2 linked regions of the Bombyx mori genome follow. The protein of the gene in region 2 binds, or shares a complex with, the protein of the main gene of each other region. Links are inferred from orthologs where the notes say so. Each region holds a gene or a part of one and is shown on either strand. Other genes may lie near its edges. The genes, in order: integrator complex subunit 11 and integrator complex subunit 9.

Region 1 (4,323 bases), on a different chromosome or scaffold from region 2:
GAACGAGCTCACAGCCCACCTGGTGTTAAGTAGTTACTGGAGCCCATAGACATTTACAGCGTAAATACGCCACCCACCTTGAGATATAAGTTGCAAGGTTGTATAGTTACAACGGCTGGCTGCCCCACCCTTCAAGCCGAAACGCATTACTGCTTCACGGCAGAAATAGGCAGGGTCGTGGTACCTACCCGTGCGGACTCACATGAGGTCTTACCACCAGTAATTACGTAAATTATAATTTTGCGGGTTTGATTTTTATTACCCGATGTTATTCCTTCACCGTGGAAGTCATTCGTGAACATTTGTTGAGTACGTATTTCATTAGAAAAATTGGTACTTGCCTGGGATTCGAAAAACGGGTTATCGCTCAACACGAATGCACCGGACGTTTTATCCCTTAGGCCACGACGACTACATGTATAACGGACACCAATTTAAGATCGGTAGGTAGTGCAGAAGTAAGACACATTTTCTATGAGACTCATACTGTGGCACCATGGAAAAAGAATCCTAAACCATAAATCACCTTCCATTATTTTTAACCATAAAAAAGATGTTGCTTTGCATTTATAGAAACTTTCTTTTGTCCACACTAGGTGAAACTCAATATTGTATTTTATTGACATTTTATTTTTATATTCCAGAAAGCCAATGCTACTTTAAAAGAAGAGGACTTGAAGCACTTGAACAAACCAAACAGACTTCAGTACTTATGGTACCAGGGAAAATGCAATGTGGATATCACTTGGTGTACATAAAACAAATATTATTAACTAAAACTAATTTATTCAAAATTACAAAATAATTCATAATAAAAATCCTAAAACATGACATTTCTTATTCTTTCATTGGACTATATTGAACCATTGATTGCAGGAGCCCTAATATATAGCTACCTAAGTCTTCGTCTTGGTTTGTCCAAGAAACATAAATGTTTTTTGTGCTATCATCTTCACCTTCTACCTTGATGAGTACTGACTCAACTGATATGTTTCCTTCCGATATAGTTATAGTCCAGCCTTCTAATTTTTCCGTCAGTAAATTCTGCAATTTTTCAGCAGTCTTGATAGCTGGCCCCGGATCCTCAAAACGAACTGTACTTGTGAATCTAATGATATGCCTGTTTATTCCGATTTCATCACACATCTCATCAATGTCTAGTAATGATAGCCTGTTATCTTTCACACACAGAATCCCATTAACAACTCGCCTGCGTTTTGGATCAGGTGGTTGGGCATTGTATCTCACTGCTTCAGCTTTCAGCAACCTCAACGAGACATCAATAGGAATGGTTGTTGGAGTATTTATAACACATGTTTCACCATTAGCTGGCATAAAACAACTAATTTTGAATTCCTTCTCTATTTTATCTTTCAAAAACTCCATTTTTTGAGCTTCACCATGTACCAACAATACATTTTTGGGTTCACAATATTGTATCAATTGCATAATTCCTTTTGCATCAGCATGAGCTGAAAATGACATGTATTCTACTGCCATTTTAACTTCAACCACTTGTCTGTTTTCAAATTCAACCTTCTTTGCTCCATTGAGGATCTTGTGTCCGACTGTGCCTTGCACACAGAATCCTGGCATAATCACCATGTTCTGCTCATAAGGAGCCCATTTCTTAAAGATGTTTAGTGACAATCCAGCATGCAACATTCCAGGCGTAGCAAAAACTACCATAGCACCGGGATTATCAATGTATGTCTTGTCAAATGGTTTAATATGCTTAAAGTCAAACATATTTCTTTGAACAAATGTCTTTCTTATTTTTTGATTGGTCCATGTTATAAACATTTTATAGTAATTGTTTGCTTTTTCTGTCAGTCCAAGAGCAAAGTAAACTGGATATTTAAGATTCATACGATCCCAATATGTTTCCAATAAAATACAAAGTTCCTGTGCCCTTCCTAATGCAAACACCGGAATCAGAACCTTACCTCCTTTTTCTACACATTCATGAACTTTTTTGAGAAAATCTCTTTCACGACAGCGTTTTGAATCTCTTATGGTTGTTGCATATGTGGATTCTGTTATGAGCAGATCAGGTCTACATTTGTCAATCCAGGCGGCTCCTAAGTGCCTATCAGGTGTCATGTTGTAATCACCTGTGTAAACCACAGATTGTGACCCTACTCTGATCCAGAACATTGCAGCTCCTAAGACATGTCCTGCGTAATAAGCTTTGATTTCTAATTCATTATCCACCATTACTGATTGATGGAGAGTCACAGCTGTCACTTTTTTCATACAATCTTTAATCATTTGGGAAGTGAAGAAGTTTGACTCACCTTTGCGCTCCACTGCGACTTTCCTCATATCCTCGAGAAGGATTGGTGCTATGGCTTTAGTCGGGTGTGTCATGTAAATAGGGCCGGTATAACCAATCATTTCGGACATATAGGGCAGTGCACCGCAGTGATCTAGGTGAAAATGTGATATAATAACGCAGTCAATCTGACTCGTTATAGGGCCTTCCGGGACAATGTAAGAGAAATCAGGAAATCTTCTTTCATCGTTGTAGCCCATATGCATACCACAATCTAACATTATGTTTTTGCCACCCATGGTTAGCAAGATGCAGCTCCGACCAACATCCTGGCCCGCTCCGAGTGGCGTAATCTTAATATCCGGCATTATAAGTTTTACCACATCCAAGGAAGCTTATGAAAATATACGTTTCAAGATTATGAATATTAACGACACGAAATGATTCGCCAGTAGGTACCGTGGTGTATTAATAATCAGTACGATGTTTCATAAAAATAATTTATTACATACTGTTAAAACTCATTTAACCCTAAAACATGTTATTTATAAATAACAAACAATATTTTTTAAGTAATTTGCTGTTAATTATCATCACAATTCCGCAACATGGGTTGTATTATCTATAGTCACTAATGTCAAAGCGGTATGTGTATATCATTATTATTTTTTTAAGGTATTTTATGACCTGGTAACTAAGACTTTTAGGTCATGTCTTATTTTAATTTATATTCTTATTTTTATGAAAAATGATAAATGGAGTGAAATGAAATGAAGGTGATTAATTTGGGGCATTAATCAACTGGGATGAAATTAAATGAAAGGAGATGAAATGATATGGGATGAAATATAATCTCAGTAAAATGGCGGTCATTTACTGAGATTTTTCAGTAGACTTTTTGGAGGATCCAGAGAAGTTACGTCCAGCGGCTTGGCTTCATTTTCCCACATTTGTGCACTTTCACAGATATTAGGCAGTTAATAAACCAACGTTATTGTACATTTCAACCTGAAGAAACATTAAATAGACAAAATAAAACAAATCACTCAACTTCACTCCTCACGTTCCCACCAAAAAGTCGAAGTCAACAAGACATTACTTAAAGGTCTTAGTTATCAGGTCACAAATCCCTTAAAAAAATTGTGATAGTCTTTGTATGTATTGTTCTCAAATATATTAAGTGTATAATCTATGTGTATTATGTTGTGTTTTGGTTTAGGCTGTGCCATGGCTGTGCAAACAAAAGTGGGAATCGTATTACCAATTGAGCTTAAGTACTGATTTATAATATTTAACTTTATTGCAACACTAAAAATCGTTGTCTTAATTAATATCGTTTATTTATTCGACACCATTGAATTTCCTTAGGTTATGATTACTGTGTATAGCTTGTAAGTACTGTTGTGATAAGAGCCAAGAGAAACGCCTTATCAGCCAGAGCCGGTACCGAAGTGAGGACGTGTAAACTACATTTTCTATAACAATTTAAAATTTGATTGCCTAAAATTTGAATATGTCCGGAGATAGTTCTAATGTAATCGATCCGAAAAAAATTGCCTTAATAACTGGAATAACTGGCCAGGTATGTACTATCCTAAATGTTTAAAATGATTTTTTTACACGTACTTAATTTATTTAAATAATCATTCTGTTGAATTACCATAGCGGTACGTGTATCGTACCAAAAATTATTGTAAAAATAACAATGATTAAGAAATTAAAGTCGAAATCAAATTATATATATTTTTATTTTAACTCTTGGGTGTGCGGAGGGACTTCGCCGCTGAGGAATTTTTTGAGATGATACCATCATCTCGATTTTACCCTCACACCTACTACCTGGAGCCACTGAGTTCATCCACAGAGCATTTCCATCTTTTTTACCACGTACCATTCTGTTTTGGAATGAGCTCTCCTCATTTCCTGAACACTATGATATGTCCTTCTTCAAACGAGGTTTTTGGAGAGTACTTAGCGCTAGGCAGCGGAATGGCTCTGCCCCTGGCATTGCTGAAATCTATGGGCGACGGTAACCACTCACCATCAGG
Region 2 (4,350 bases):
GGCCCACAGCTCGACGAGGTGCACGGCGGCGCCGAAGCGCAGGCTGGGGTGTCCGCAGAAGACGACGCAGGGCTGGCGGAAGTCTGCGCTGAAGGAGTCGTCGTGCAGGTCCCGCGCGTGCCGCAGCCGCCCCGCGCGCACCAGCGCCGCGTGCGGGAACGGCTCCTCGGGCAGGTACACGCGCGCCTGCTTGCCCGCCGACACCCACTCCGCCAGGATGTTGCTGTAGGCCAGCGACGCCTCGGCCGCCGGCGACACCACGTACAGCGGCACGTGCGCCAGCCCCGCCGTGTCCAGGTGCGCCGACAGGCACTCCAGCAGGTCGTACAGCACGCCGCTGGGGTACACGGGGCACAGCACGGAGCCGCCGGCGCGCAGCGTGACGGTGGCGTGCACGCACAGGTCGCCCAGCATGTGGTCCGGGTTGTGCGCCGGCGTCTGCGTGAGCGCGGCCAGCACCAGCAGGTCGGCGCCCCGCAGAGCCGCCTGGTTGATGGGGCGCGGGTGCGTGGTGAGCGTGCTGGAGCCGCTCACGTAGGCGACCTTCTCGTGGGCGGAGCGCAGCACCCAGTTGGCGGAGCCCAGACAGAAGCCGGAGCTGACGGCGGTGGCGTCGAGCGCGCCGTACAGGTCGACCTTCTCGTCGTAGCCGACCACGCGGACGCGCGCGAGGGCGCGGGCGACGTGGTGCGGGGCGAGCAGGCGGCGCCACGCGCGGGGCCGCACCACGTCGGCGAGGGGGGCGGGCAGCACGTGCACCGCCTCCTTCCAACGCTTGGCCGAGCCCGACCCCGACCCGCTTGAGCACACCCACTCCGACAGCTCCTCCAGGTAGAACCTCCAAATATATTATCTTTATTACATCTTTCTGCTGCTTCAATCCATTCTGATACTGTACTTTCAATAAGCATATTCTGTTTACAATAATATGGTGTTGTTATATACTCTATAACCATATATACAATACAGAAATGTATATTTTTTATCATTATACTTTTGAAGGCATAAAAAGAATAGAGAATGAATACCTTCCTATTTGTAGAGTAGGTTCAGTGGCATACACTTGGCCCTTGAAACCTGTATCTTCTGTTATAAAAGGCAGGGCCAGCATGCAAGTGTAATTTGAGATTAAAATTACATCTAGCTGAGAAAAATCGACTACTTTATCGAGAGGCGGACAAAACTCAGGCATGCTATCAACAAACACTCTGCCGCAACACTCCTTTAGTTCCTGTAATGAGATGGGTTAGTTTAAATATCACCTGATATTGATTCTGTTTTTATTATAAAGAAATATCATTAAATTTAACATGTTATTACTTATTTGACATAGGGTTTTTAATCATAGCATTGGAGTCAGATTTAAAATATGAGTCCCTTTGATTTTTTATATCAGAAATCTGTTGAATGCAGTTTGGAAGGTACGTGTAATGTAACTGAGAGATACAGTTGGATAAGTTTAAAAATTATTTTAATGAGGAGTTTTGAGTTTTTTATTAATTTAATGTTTGTATATAAAATAATTAATTGATGAAATGTGTTTTTTTGCTTAAAGACTGTACCTAATGGATTCACCAGAGAATAAGCATTCTGTGAGTATTAAAGCAGCATACTGACTATACCATATTTAGTGGTGGATTCAGTATCCTGTCTGTTTTTGCTGTGATTGCCTCTTGTTTGAAGAATGGAACAACCATCATACAATACAACTGAGAATTCAACTTCATGTTTCAAGGTGGGTGGTGGTAATAATGTTGTCATGACCAGAGACTCCAGTAACCACTTTATACCTAGGTACTGATATATAAATAATGATAATAAGAAATGTAATAAGCTTAATTTTTATACCCCTTCCAAGAGTGGATCATTGTGATGTGGTGGTGTGTAATTAGGCAGGGATGCGAGTCGAGTGCTAGGCACTGGAGGCAGCGGTAGGAAGTTGAGCACAGAGTGGGATGACAGCCCACAATCCAACATTATGAGGAGCTCTTTGAAAGACAACACAAAGCAAGGCTTCGCTGCATCATTGCTTAAACAATACTGTAATCAAATCAAACATTGTTTAAGGTAAGCACTGGTTATATTATTTATAAGTCAGGGGTCCATATGGTAATGCTCAATTAAACAGATATGCCAGAATAGTGGAGCCATCCTGGTATTTTAAAGCCACACCTATTTTTCTGTCCCTATAGTACCTGTATAACAGCTGTGATCTTAGAGTACACATAGAATGATTTATGACAATTTCAAACCATTCTACTTATTTCTGTTCAGACACAATCATGCATTCCGATTTAACTGGTTAGTCATTGGATCCAAGCAATCAATACTTCAATAGAAGAGAGGGACAAATTCTTAGAGGTATCATTCATCTTGTGGTGCCTTTAGTCTCTAGTATTAGGTTCATATCCCAAAAAGCTATGAAATAATCACTTAAACAAAATTGTATGTAAAAATTGTGGGGATGTGGGAGACTGCCTCTCTACCCAGGATATCATTACAGTAAAAACGTATGGGCTGTTCTTGTAAAATAATTTACTATATTAATAAACTACTTGCAAATGGAGCACTCCACTGCAATTTGGTTTGTTTTCGCGTCCTGCAGGTTTAATTCTAACACAATCTTCTAATAGTATGAATTCTAATATTATTTTTGTATTTTGTGTTTCAAGTTCAACTCTTACATATTTTTCAAGTGTTTTGAATAAATTAGTGAAGATATTGCATACTTACAAGCTTCATTATTAGTTTATATATTATATTTCGAATTTGCGGACGAATATTGTTTATTACTAAAGTATGTTTATGTATTAGTAACTGCTTTATCAATTTGTCCGGCTTCAATATTATTTTTGCTTAGGTTTGATGAACCGTTTATTCAGTGTATTGCATAGATAATACATAACTGTACAACATCATTAATTGAAATAAATGAATATTAGGTACATAAGTACTTTCAAAATAGCTAAACAAAATATATTTATATTATGTAGGTAGGTAGGTTCTAGTTACCTACCTACAGATATTATCTGTCAGATAAGCATTTGATTGTTTTAATCGACAGGCAAAGGGAGCATATTCAATACATACAACTAAATATTTGTAACAAACGAGTTATATCTGTTGTGTAAAAGTAAAATGAAACAAACGATATTAAATGTAATTCATTAATTAACAAAATTTGTACTACGGTTCCATATTCGTTGAATTTGTTATTCGGAAACAATGAAACTCGTTGCATTTGCATTCCTCGGGAAAAAGAGTTAGCCGTATCACTCTCTAGTCCATTTTTTTTCCTACCTATGCTGATAGCCGTGAGAGGCTATTTCAGCTTCGCCCTAACGTGTAGGTGAACTCACGGTGCTCAAACCGGAAGTATTGCTAACACTGGCCCTAGCAAGAGCAGAGAAACTCAGTGTGCTATGTCTATGGGTTAATTTACTCGTCGAGCCCTTCGTCACAAGCGACGGGTTCGGCGAGGACGGTGACCGGTGCTTGAGGTGTGTACTTAAAAGTACCGATAATGAATCGGGAGGATCCGTAATGACGTGTTTAGAGCGACGTCGACTTGTTACCGTTCGGTCCACAGGATCGGGTATGTCTATTTATTAAGCTATTTGTAAAACCTTTGGTAAGTAATATATTATGAACCATGAAATACATTGTTATTATTATACTGTACTGTATAGCAGATATACCTAGTGTTATTCCAGTCAAGTTTAGTGTGATAAAAATTAGATTATCTACTTGTCAATTCAGATTATAAATTATGTTGGTGGGAAGTCATATCCAAGTCCGTTATGCTATTATTGTACACAACATTTGTTACGTTGTTGTAGGTAATTATATATTTTATATGTATACAGTGTAAGTGTAAGAATAGTCGTCGTGGCCTAAGCGATAAGACGTCCGGTGCATTCGTGTTGAGCGATGCACCAGTGTTCGAATCTCAGGCGGGTACCAATTTTTCTAATGAAATACGTACTCAACAAATGTTTACGATTGACTTCCACGGTGAAGGAATAACATCGTGTAATAAAAATCAAACCCGCAAAATTATAATTTGCATAATTACTGGTGGTAGGACCTCTTGTGTGTCCGCGCGGGCGGTGCCACCGCCCTGCCTATTTCAGTCGTGAAGCAGTAATGCGTTTCGGTTTGAAGGGTGGGGCAGCCGTTGTAACTATACTGAGACCCTTAGAACTTATATCTCAAGGTTGGTGGCGCATTTACGTTGTAGATGTCTATGGGCTCCAGTAACCACTTAACACCAGGTGGGCTGTGAGCTCGTCCACCCATCCAAGCAATAAAAAAAACACAACTCTGTACAACCGCTAGGTAAGTACATAA

Evidence for each region.
Region 1: the proteins of integrator complex subunit 9 (region 2) and integrator complex subunit 11 are in contact, whole or in part, in a cryo-EM structure (PDB 7SN8), measured with the Drosophila melanogaster proteins. The link is inferred for Bombyx mori from reciprocal best matches to the Drosophila melanogaster genes IntS9 and IntS11. Residues at the interface, in NP_648838.3 of Drosophila melanogaster: Glu128, Tyr198, Asp199, Glu200, Lys201, His230, Asp333, Ser334, Ala337, Tyr338, Asn340, Ile341, Glu344, Gln351, Val354, Tyr355, Leu356, Pro357, Asp358, Asp359, Pro360, Arg509, Lys510, Leu511, Asp512, Arg513, Ile514, Tyr515, Ile516, Ser518; in NP_651721.1 of Drosophila melanogaster: His94, Lys97, Ala98, Pro135, Thr137, His139, Gln140, Ser141, Glu149, Lys151, Lys274, Thr277, Tyr278, Lys280, Met281, Phe282, Ile283, Thr284, Trp285, Phe294, Val295, His296, Val450, Lys451, Ile452, Pro453, Val454, Asp455, Ala456, Ser457.

What each region holds. Positions count from the first base shown.
Region 1 is NC_085124.1:3,287,561-3,291,883, forward strand, and holds integrator complex subunit 11, read right to left. Parts: upstream 2,955-4,323; 5' UTR 2,644-2,954; coding exon 838-2,643; 3' UTR 767-837; downstream 1-766. Other genes in the region: probable tubulin polyglutamylase ttll-15, read left to right, coding at 645-758; GDP-mannose 4,6 dehydratase, read left to right, coding at 3,789-3,857. UniProt on the Drosophila melanogaster protein: RNA endonuclease component of the integrator complex, a multiprotein complex that terminates RNA polymerase II (Pol II) transcription in the promoter-proximal region of genes.
Region 2 is NC_085111.1:141,520-145,869, forward strand, and holds the start of integrator complex subunit 9, read right to left. Parts: upstream 3,034-4,350; 5' UTR 2,743-3,033; coding exon 2,734-2,742; intron 2,041-2,733; coding exon 1,849-2,040; intron 1,232-1,848; coding exon 1,029-1,231; intron 839-1,028; coding exon 1-838. UniProt on the Drosophila melanogaster protein: Component of the integrator complex, a multiprotein complex that terminates RNA polymerase II (Pol II) transcription in the promoter-proximal region of genes.